Macaca fascicularis: one gene and its partners. The protein of the gene in region 2 interacts with the protein of the main gene of each other region in a pairwise test. Links are inferred from orthologs where the notes say so. Each region holds a gene or a part of one and is shown on either strand. Other genes may lie near its edges.

The links.
Region 1: the proteins of CEP70 (region 2) and TRIM29 interact in binary tests that used the Homo sapiens proteins (3 or more experiments, as listed by UniProt). The two-hybrid records come from large-scale screens. The link is inferred for Macaca fascicularis from reciprocal best matches to the Homo sapiens genes CEP70 and TRIM29.
Region 3: the proteins of CEP70 (region 2) and UPF0488 protein C8orf33 interact in binary tests that used the Homo sapiens proteins (3 or more experiments, as listed by UniProt). The link is inferred for Macaca fascicularis from reciprocal best matches to the Homo sapiens genes CEP70 and C8orf33.

The regions. Positions count from the first base shown.
Region 1 is NC_088388.1:118,999,619-119,003,279, reverse strand, and holds the start of TRIM29 (tripartite motif-containing protein 29), read left to right. Parts: upstream 1-789; 5' UTR 790-871; coding exon 872-1,675; intron 1,676-3,661.
Region 2 is NC_088376.1:41,434,097-41,437,842, reverse strand, and holds the start of CEP70 (centrosomal protein of 70 kDa), read left to right. Parts: upstream 1-1,067; 5' UTR 1,068-1,644; intron 1,645-3,430; 5' UTR 3,431-3,524; coding exon of another isoform or gene 3,525-3,533; intron 3,534-3,746.
Region 3 is NC_088382.1:154,739,031-154,742,776, reverse strand, and holds UPF0488 protein C8orf33, read right to left. Parts: upstream 2,333-3,746; 5' UTR 2,310-2,332; coding exon 2,304-2,309; intron 2,216-2,303; coding exon 1,904-2,215; intron 1,738-1,903; coding exon 1,653-1,737; exon of another isoform or gene 1,583-1,652; intron 1,504-1,582; coding exon 1,357-1,503; intron 786-1,356; coding exon 646-785; 3' UTR 180-645; downstream 1-179.

The DNA of each region.
Region 1 (3,661 bases), on a different chromosome or scaffold from region 2:
TCTTCCGGTGAGATATTCAGGTGACTCCATGACCCCTCAGCTGAAGAAGGGGCTTTGGCTTCTAAAAGGCTTAGGGTTCAAATCTCAGCTCTGCCACTTGACTTAGGCCAGTGAGTTATCTTCTTAAAGGCCCAGTTTTCTCATCTATTAAAAGGGGGTAATTGAACAGGTTTTAGGGAAGCTCGAATGAGCTTGTATATACGCAATACCTAGAAAAGTGCCTGGAGGTTGGCGAGTAGGGTTCAATAATCAGCAGCCAAATCAAACGGAACCCATCCTTCCCCCTTAAGGTGAAAAGCAGCGTTACAGTCCCAGGGTGGACAATCTTTCCTCTGAAACTCAGGCCCGCAAATTACAAGGCTATTTGACTTGTGTGACCCAGTTAACAGCCCTATGTCCCTTAGGCCTCTGCAGACACCTCACCTTCTGCCCCAGGGGCCTCTGGGTGCAGTGAAGCCTGCCCACCTGTGAAGACAGAGACTCCCGGCTCCCTGGATGAGAAGCAAGTGCGTCAGAGGGAAGCAGCCCAACTGGTTGCTGAGTTGTAGAAAATAATTAAGCTGGGGGAGAAAAAAATACTTCTTTTAAAAATCAGGTTAGGGATGAATGTGTAGGGCGTGGTTCCTGTGTAATTATCTGCTCTGCTGGCTGCGGGGCTGCCTGCTTCTCCCGGCCCGCTGTGTCAGGCTTGTGCCTGTTGCTCCTCCCCTCCTCCCACTCCTCCTCCTCCGCCTACTCCCCCTCCTCCTCCTCACAGGTGTGTCTCTAGGCCCTGTGGCTGCCTGCCCCACTCCCTGCCGAGACGCCAGCCAGAAAGGCCACCTATCCTGAACCCCAGCAAGCCTGAAACAGATCAGCCAAGCATCCTGAGATGGAAGCTGCAGATGCCTCCAGGAGCAACGGGTCGAGCCCAGAAGCCAGGGATGCCCGGAGCCCGTCGGGCCCCAATGGCAGCCTGGAGAATGGCACCAAGGCTGACGGCAAGGATGCCAAGACCACCAACGGGCACGGCGGGGAGGCAGCTGAGGGCAAGAGCCTGGGCAGTGCCCTGAAGCCAGGGGAAGGGAGGAGCGCCCTGTTCGCGGGCAATGAGTGGCGGCGACCCATCATCCAGTTTGTCGAGTCCGGGGAGGACAAGAACTCCAACTACTTCAGCATGGACTCTATGGAAGGCAAGAGGTCGCCGTACGCAGGGCTCCAGCTGGGGGCTGCCAAGAAGCCACCCGTTACCTTTGCCGAAAAGGGCGAGCTGCGCAAGTCCATTTTCTCAGAGTCCCGGAAGCCCGCGGTGTCCATCATGGAGCCCGGGGAGACCCGGCGGAACAGCTACCCCCGGGCCGACACGGGCCTTTTTTCACGGTCCAAGTCCGGCTCCGAGGAGGTGCTGTGCGACTCCTGCATCGGCAACAAGCAGAAGGCGGTCAAGTCCTGCCTGGTGTGCCAGGCCTCCTTCTGCGAGCTGCACCTCAAGCCCCACCTGGAGGGCGCCGCCTTCCGAGACCACCAGCTGCTCGAGCCCATCCGGGACTTTGAGGCCCGCAAGTGTCCCGTGCATGGCAAGACCATGGAGCTCTTTTGCCAGACTGACCAGACCTGCATCTGCTACCTTTGCATGTTCCAAGAGCACAAGAATCATAGCACCGTGACGGTGGAGGAGGCCAAGGCCGAGAAGGAGGTAAATGCTGGGGCCCCTCCTGCTCCTCCAGGCCTGTCCTCTCTCACCCCACCCCTCCGACCTTCATCTTCTCCACTGGAGCTTCCTCGGGTTTGGGGCTTACGTTTCTGCTGTCCTTGGCTCTTTTAGAAAACATTTCTTTCCCCTCATACCCCGTGTCCCCCCAATCCCACCTGGGGATCAGAGGTGGCTCCCCAATCCCCTAATGTCTCAGGAGACCGGACATTTTCTAGATGAGCAGATGGAGACTCAGAAAAGACTGGGGGCCTGACCAAAGTCATAGGATAAATTCAAGTCAGGTCAGAGAGTATGACCCAATAGCACAGAACTCACTCCTGGGCGCTGTGCCTGGCTGGGGTGCTTCTTTCTTCTCCTCCTTCTCCTTCTCCTTCTCCTCCTCCTCCTCATCCTCCCCCTCCCCCTCCCCTTCTCCCTTCTCCCTTCCTTCTTTCTTCCTTCTTCTTTCTTCTTTCTTTTTTTTTGATTTGAAGAAGAGATAATTCCTCTAATCTGAGTGGGTCTGGCCCCTGGGGAATGGGTTGTGGGTGAGGAAAGATACTAGAAAAGTTTGGGGTCCACTGAAATGTCCTTTCTTTTGTCTTTGTAGTTTTTATTTGTGGTACAGTGGCTGCTTGTTCTAGCTGATCCCCAGCTGGTCTCTTGACTTCCTCCACAGCCTCCTTTATCCTTCTCTCAGCTGGGCCCTGTGTTTTGCATGTGTAGTTGTGTGTAGACACACCTATTCCTGCAGGCGGACACTGTTGGGGAAGTTTGGAGTTTGTGTGTGGATGGCGTGTACATGTACAGCTAGTCCCTGACTTAGGATGGTTTGATTTATGATGGTGTGAAAGTGCTATGCTTTCAGTACAGTATTCCATAAAATTCAACACTTTATTACAAAATAGGCTTTGTAGTAGAAGATTTTGCCAAACTCTTGGCTAATGTAAGTGTTCTGAACAAGTTTAAGGCAAGCTAGGTTAAGCTATGATGCTTGGTAGGCTAGGTGTATTAAAAGCATTTTTGACCTATCACATTTTCAACTTACAATGGATTTATTGGTAAATAACCTCATCACAAGTTGAGGAGCATCTGTATATGTGTTTATTTTATGTGCACGTGGGTGTTTTTGTGCCTTTGTGAATGTTTGCATGTATTTGTATATGTGATACGTAAGAGTGTTTGCATGAGTTCTATGTGCCTGTGCCTGTACTTCTATGGGGAGGAGCAGAGGCAAGTGCAGGCCTGTGGATGTAGCATACCTGGGGAAGGTGATTTGAGCAAAGGGCCCAGCTGTGGCCACTGCCCTTTGCCCCACAGATGTGGGGTTCACTCTTCCCTAGGTACACACCTACAGGTGGCCTTCCCGGGGCAAACCTTCCTGACCTCCAAAGCAGTGAACTCCACTTTCCTGAAGAGCTTCTGCACGTCTCAGATCTGGACAGCACAGGATTCCTCCTTGCCCAGGCTTCCTGACCAGGAGGAGCTGGTTGATTACTCTCTCCTTTCATCTCTCACTCACACCCCTGGACAGAAGGGGCTGAGGTAGGGAGGGGAATGTACTCACAGATCCCTTCCAGAAGCCTTGTTTGGCCCAGGAAGATGTTTCCAGCTTCCCCCATCTTCCGACCCCAGTGTGGCCTCAGGCTTCATACTGAGAGATATAGATGGGACAGGGGCCATGAAAGTCATTCTAGGGAGCTTACTTGGGAGTTTAGACAGAATAAGAGGCAATCATCCTCATCACAGCAACTGAGAAATTGCAGAGCCCCAGACAAGGTTTTAGGAAATGTGACTGAGTTCCAGTGCCAGTTTTTGCCTCTAACTAACTGTAAGACTGTGAATAAGTCCTTTCCATTCTCAGTCTCAGTTTCCCAAGGGGTGAGGCTAGATTGTTGGTTTTCAAATTACCCCACAGAGCCATAGCATTCTTAGAAATGTCTTTGAGGCCTCAGGATGAGGAGGGGGCAAAGAGGTGTCAAGAAGACG
Region 2 (3,746 bases):
AGATAAGCAACTTCCTCATTTTTTAGGAAGACAATTTAACTCAGATTTCATATCACATGCATCCAAAATAATCATAACTGACCCAAAGATGTTTGGCCTCTACAGTTAGGGCAGCCATGCTCAGAAGAGTATGCAAGGGTACCCTATTGTCTTGGAAAAGGGAAGCACTGAGACTATTTGCGATTTGAGAACTGAAAATGCAAATCTGCTAACCATCGTGAGAGTGAATATCCAGGTATAGAAAGCACAGTGGGTGGGCGTAGGTTGTGGTAGGGACATGTTTGTATGGGGCAAACACAGAGATTAAACTTAAGTGTAGTTCCAGCTGCCTGGAAGAATGCTAAGAAGGGTCTGAAACTATTGAGCTCCAAGAGCCCTTGGACCTCCTGATGAGAGACCGTTGGCTGATGCCCTCGATGGGACATCCCTGCTGGCTCCTGTGGGATCTGCATCTACGCACACCTACATCATTTGACTGATTTGAAAAGACAGGTTGTCAACAGCGACACCATGTGGCTATAAGATACAATCAAAATGGTGGACATTTACAGCCTGAGGTAGGGCCTGAAGCTTCGTCGAGATGTGGAAAATGCTGAATCGGAAGAAATGTCATCAACAAACATTTATTGGGGTCCTCCAAATGTCAGCTGCTACAGTGGTCAGCCAGGTCTGGAACATCGAGAACATGCTGACCCGTACCCCAGCAAGAGCTCGTAGTAGCGGCGGGGTAGGGGGCGAGAGAGAGGGCAGTCTCTGGAGGCCAGGTAACCCAGGCTTCACTTTCACCTACGGCCACAAGTATGTCTGACATCTTCCAGGCAAATAAGGCTCCATGTAAGTGACAGGGTACCTAAGGAGAGCGATGGAAACGCCAGCTTGCCCACGACTAGCCGACGCCTGCGTTTGCGATAAGCCCCGCCCCCAGTAGCTGAGCCAACCGGAGGGTGCGGGGCGGACCCAGCTTCCGGGTGAGGCTGGAGAGAATCGTTTGGGGGCGTTCGCAGGCTAAAGAGGGGCTGGCCCTCGACGCGCTCGGGCTCGATTGGCCGCCCTTCCCCGGCGGAGGTAACGGTCGCGGAGGCGGGGCCTGATGTAGTAATCCCAGCCTAGCCGGGGCCGGGCTGGCTGCTGGTGGGAGGCGGCGACTGAGGAAGGTGAGTGGCGCTCGGGGCTCTCAGAGGTGTAGTCGTGAGCCCCTTCTCGGAGCACCCCGGACTTGACCTCACCTGGGCCTAACAGTGGTCAGACTGACCCTTGTCAGGGAGGAGCCGCCTGGGATAGGGTCGCGCCAATTACAAATCCCTGCGTAAGGGTTTGGGGATGGGACAAACCTGCGTGCTAGCCCCAGCTCCCCAGGCTTTGTGTTCTTTGGCTTCTCCTTTAATGTCTCAGCGCCTCGGATTCTTTATTTGTATACTAAAGCTGGTAATTCTCGCCTTACAAAGTGGTTGTGTGGGTTAAATGAGGCAGTAAGAGTAAAGCTTAGAATCACAGCGGGCACAGGTTCGATTTAAGCTGTAGGTAATTACTCCATCCCCCAAAATCGACCCGGACTGAAGCGCCCGTTTTGTGGCAAACAACCGCGAAGGTGGTTTGGGGAGTGAGGACTCGGAGCAGAAGGGGGCGGTTAGGCGAATAGCACAGGTGAGTATCTCTTTCTCTGGTTTATTAACCTCATTCCGGATTCAGGAGACCTCTGACTTTATACAGGGCCTAATAGGAGTTTTTCAAGGTGAAAAATGTCGGAAGGCTAAGACACCTGTAACAGAGAGACCTGAGTTTCCTTTTTTACTGCCACTGTTTTTCAATCAGTGTTTCAATCACTGTTAATATTAAACAGGCCGGGCGCAGTGGCTCACGCCTGTAATCTCAGCACTTTGGGAGGCCGAGGTGAGCGGATCACCTGAGGTCAGGAGTTCGAGACCACCCTGGCCAACATGGTGAAACCACCATGTCTCTACTAAAAATACAAAAATTAGCCGGGCGTGGTGGTGCGCGCCTGTAATCCAGCAACTCGGGAGGCTGAGGCAGGAGAATCGCTTGAACTCGGGAGGCGGAGGTTGCTGGGAGCTGAGATCGTGCCACTGCACTCCAGCCTGGAGAGCGAGGTTCCGTATCAAAAAAAAAAAAAAAAAATATATATATATATATATATATATATGTATGAATATTATATTAAACACTGTGCAGGCATTATCCATATTGGTTTCAAGCCTCTGCAATGAGTTTTGTACTTTAAATATTGCCAAGTAGACTCTGGCCTCCCCTAACCCTGCCTTTTGGGGAAGAGGTGGCTGACTTGGAGTTTTCCCTACAGCTTTTGCTTCAAAGCAAGGTTCTGCCGCTTCATGTCACCTCTCGCGAGACAGAATGATTTGGTTGAGATGACATTCCATTTTAACTCTTTCCTATTTGGGGTAGGTTCAACTCTTTCTTAGGAACATTAAACAGCAAGTTGCCATATTTTCAGAATAGAGCTTTTGCATTTAATAAGGAATAGAGACTTCGAAAGGGTTACATGTTCATTTATTGCAGTAATTTGAAGTATATGCTTTTGAAGACGCTTACAGATTTTGTTGTGATTCAGTTGAGAAGGAACAGTTACTGGCCATGGTTTATTGTCAGCTCCCCTCCCCGACCCCAAATGGTGAAAAGATAATTAAATTTTAAGGTATGGAGCATGTTACAAGGGACTTCAGACCTATAAAGGGCAATTTGGCTGAAACACTCGGGAAACCTAGAAAGTGTCAGAAGATACAATTATGTTTTTGCTTTTCTATGCCTGGCTTACTATGCCATGTACAAGACAACTCCTACCCTCTGACTCCTACCCCCACCATCTTATTTTAAGTGTATTATGACACTAATTAAAGCTGTAGCTTCTGTTTTGGCCCTAGAAGGCATTTGGTCTCTTCCTGTGACTTTAAAAGTTCCAGACCTTTGTCCTGGAAGTAGGGACAGCCTGTAGTGGGGAAAAGGCTGCTGCAAACTATTGGCCTGTTAATTTCATAGAATGGACCTCTGAAAAGGAGGGTTTGGTCACAGGTGCAAATGAGGAGTAGTTTTGTTCCTGTGTTTGCTTTTGTGATCAGTTGTAGTTTGTCTGAGGATGCTTCATTTTAGTATCCTTGCAAATGAGAATATCCTACCTGTGGAGCCGGAAGTCAGAATTGATGATAGATGATGATAGATTTGGATACCCAGCTAAATGTCTTAGCAAGGTAGGGAGAGGAAAGATAAGGGGAGAGAAGAGAAGGGAAGAGGTGTATGGTAGTGAGCTGGGAAGGGCATTAGCAGTTATTTCAGTTGTGCCTGGTTTATCTGTGATTACCAGTACCATGGATGCCTGCTCTGGGAGTAACAGAAGACCATTCTTACTAGGAAGCTGAACATTTCAAGATTTTCTTCTTTTTATCTTTTTGAAACCTAGATGAAGATCCAGTTTCAGACATGAGACTCGTTGGGTGATCATTTCATTGAGATCAACCTGAATGACCAGGTGTAAAGTGCAAGAGTAGTATGCTATGACTGAGGTATGTCTAATGTAACGGATGACTCCAGATGTTGGGAGACCACGGAAAAGTATGTAATTTGTTGAGTACTATACTAGGTTCATTACATATATTTCCTTTGGACTTCCTGATAATCCTATCAGGTAGATATTTTACAACTTAGCAAAGAAGCTGAAGCTCAGAGAGGTTAAGTACCTACTTAAGATAACACAGAAAGCTGATCACCAACTCTAA
Region 3 (3,746 bases), on a different chromosome or scaffold from region 2:
AGCTCCTTCCTCCTGAGAAGACAGCCATGCCTGGTGGCTGCCATGCTGGTTCCCTGAGGATGACACCTGCTCAGGAATGAAGGCAACATGGACAAAGGATCGAGGCAAGGGACTGGACCCAGGGAACCAGACCCCTGCCGTCTTCTGTACTTCCTCTAACACAGGTGGTCAGCACACTCTTTCACTCGTTATCCAATTTTATCAAAAATAAAGACTAGGGCAATGTGACATAACAGCATTAAGCACTAAACCATTTGACAGGAATTCCTTTCAAAAGTGAAAAACAGTGTATAATTATATAGCTTCTCCACTAATCTTTGTTACCAACAGCCACTTAATCTAATCCTAAAGACTGAGTACAATATTCTTTCTACAATACTTCAAACAGTCACTTCAATTTATTGTATATTTTCTAAATGCACCTCTCTCTGTTCTGAAAGAGAGAACATTTCATCACAAAACAAATGGGGTCTTTTGCCTATCTGATGGTCTCACACCTTCACAACAGCTCTAAATACTTGGACCAGCCAGGGACAGACCAACCCCAGGGTTCTCTGCCAACAGAAGTCCTGAAAAGGCTCTGCACTCAAAACAAACCCCTACACCACCCCAAGGGAGGGGGAATGTTCCAGGTCGGGGGAGAAGCTAAAAGAAATTGAACCGAAACTCTTCATCAGGAGTGTCCAGAGTGGCTTTGCTTCGCCCTATAGGGCGAGGCCTGCAGACCCTTCGGCTCTTCTTTCTGGTGGCTCCATCTACAGGCTGCACCTGGGCTAAATAAGCAGCTGTCAGGGGAGAGAAGCAGCGTATGTGAGAACTGAATAACAACAGCTAACATTACCTGTACAGTTATGTTTGCCCATACAATTCTAACCACTTTGAATAAATTAACTAATTCCTCAAATTTGTAAGGTTGATATTACTATCACCGCCCATTTAGAGAGGTTCAGTAGTTTGCAAAAGGTGTTAGTACTACTATGTGGTAGATCCAGGATTTGAACCTAGCTCATCTGGCTCCAGGAATTGCACTCAAACTGTTATGGGATATGGCTTCGTTGCCAGTAGAGAGAGCCAAGACACAAAAACATAACGCAGCTTTCCCCAAGCCAGGAGCAGGACCAACACAGGGTCACACTCTTTCCCGCTCCTCCCATGACCTCCCCGCTGCTTCCCAGGTTCAGTCCTGGGAAAAGGAGAGACAGGTCCATCCTTGCTCTTTCCCTGTTCCCTCAGGCTTCCCTGAGCTCATCTCCTTCCCCCACCAGCCTTGTTGCTCTGGGCCTTCTTCCTTTCACCCCCTAGGCACTTCCTCCTTAAATTAGGCCTTCCTAAATCAACCAGTTACTAGCTCCTCACCAGATCTGAGAGCCCGCAGGGCCTCACGCCATTCGGCTTCCATCTGAGCCCTATAGTCTCCAAACAAGGAGTGCATCAACTGCCTCTTCCGGGGCAGGGGCGTTCTTTTGCTGCGCAGGGTTCGGATTGCTCCAATAGCCTGCTCTTCTGCGAATAAAAACAAAGGACTAGTGAAAACCTCTACTACTGACCTCCTACCGCCCCACCGCAAAGGAAACAACTTCACCTCTGCCAGCACCTGCAGGCCAGGCGGTGCCACTCTTCACATTCCCCAACTCTATAGAAAGGTCCCTTACTCTGTTTTGGGGTGGGTTTCTGCCTCTTGAGGCCAAGCTCCAGTTGTTCCACACACCAAGCCAATTCCTGGGCCAACTGCTGCGCCTGTGACGGATTTGGGGAAGTGGCTGTGAGAGGGCACTGGGACACAAAACAGCGCCTGGCCCCATCCCATCCCCCTCCCCGCCTTAACTCTGCGGACCCCAGATCACATGTGCCCGTGGATTCGCACTAGGGGATTCCACCCTTCCTGACTGACGCCCGCCCTTGCCTGGGCCTCAGCGCTTAGGGGCACTTCTTCTGGGGCGGGTTTCTCTGAGGCCTTCTCGCCTCCATTTGCCACAGAGGCCCTGTTCCGGGTTTTCTTCTTATTCTTTTGTTTTTTCGACGCTGCACTGCCTTCATCGCCTAACGGGTGCGCTCTGGGGTCGGCGTTACTGCTCGTGGGTTGCCCTGGGCAGAGACAGACAGTGGAGGGATTCCGGACGCTGGAAACCAGGCCGGGAAGCCGGTGTCTGCGGGACGCGCAGGGAGTACCCGGGCCTGGGGCCGCCGCTGCCTCCCCGGCAAGATGTCCTAGGGCCTGGAGAAAGGGGGGCAGCACGAGGGTCACGGAGGGCCACCGACAGTGCGACGCCCAGCCACCCGCGCGTCTTCTCCACACCGCTCACCGCCATGCTCCGCAGTCGCCACCGGAACTACGCGAGGCGGAGTCCGACGTCGAATTCCGTCCTCCAAGAGGGCGCCTGCGACTCTAGGTTCCGCAGGGTCGCGGGCGGGGCGGGGCGGGGCGGGGCGCGGGGGCCCTGAGGGGAAGGGGCGAGGCTGGGGCGGGATGAAGCTGGGGCGCGGCGAAGGTGGGACGGGGCTGGGACCTGGCTCAGGCGAAGCTGGGACGGGGCTGGGGCGGGGCTAGGCGAGGCGGGGCGGGGGCGGGAAGGGGACGGGCGGGGAGAGGAGAGGAGGGGCTGGGCGAGGCTGGGGCGGGATGAAGCCCAGGCGAAGCTGAGACAGGGTCGGGGCGGGGCTGGGGCGGGGGCTGGGGCGAGGGCAGGGCGGGGCTGGGGCGAGGGCAGGGTGGGGCGAGGCCGGGGTCGGGGGTGCCTGGGGGATCCGGAAAGAGGCTGCAGGGCGGTCTCGCAAGTGCTCCCGGGCACCGACTATGTGCCCGGCACCTTTCCGGATAAAAGTTCAAAGCTCTACACAAGGGTGTGTCTTCTCAAGGCTCACCTTTTGGTGGGGAGGGAAAAGCAAGTAAACAGAACTTGAGCAGCTGTGGCGCAGGAGGGTGGTCGGCAAAGACCCCTGGGAAATGGGGAAGAGGCGCAGGCCTGGGACCCGGCGCAGCCCGCGGCGCTCGCTCCGAGAGGATCAGGGCACCGTCGGTTGAGAGGCCGGCGACGCGGGACGTGGGGGCTCGGGTGAGGTCTGTGAGTTGGGAGGTTTACTTCCGTTCTAACGCAGTGGGAAGTTGCTGCAAGATGTAAATCTGAAGAGTGGCATAATCGTAGACGTGTGTTCTGCGGTTCTCTCTGCTCCTGTGCAACGAGTAGGGCACATGGGGTGGAGGGATGTGGAGGGATTTCAGAAGCAGACGCGGGAAGAGCCTTGGACAGGATATGGGCGTGAGGGAGGGTGGCGGTATGGGGGAGAGGGAGAGGCCAATCCACCTCTCTTCTCCCGGATGCTTCCCTCCCACTATACCTTGCTGGAGACCTGGGGTCACACACAACACTCGACCCCCGCCGATGGAGGCCTGACAACTGAGAGGAATTGCGTAGGGGCTGAGGTGAGACTGAGTGAGGCTTCAGGAGCGGGCTAGGCCAGGAGGGTGGGTTGTGTTGCTTGAGAAGGTGAGAGTTCGACTTGTCTGATGATTCCTGTCGGGGACACAGGAGTGGAAAGTGGTGTTTCCTGAGACCGTGGGATGGGAAGTGTTAGCTGCCTGGTCTGCAAGGTCTGGAAGGGTAAAAGTTTGGTCATCGCTGGTAGTTATTTACTGCAGTGTGGCAGATTACCCCCAAAATTCAGCAGATTGGCCGGGCGCGGTGGCTCACGCCTGTAATCTCAGCACTTTGGGAGGCCGAGGTGGGCGGATCACGAGGTCAGGGGAT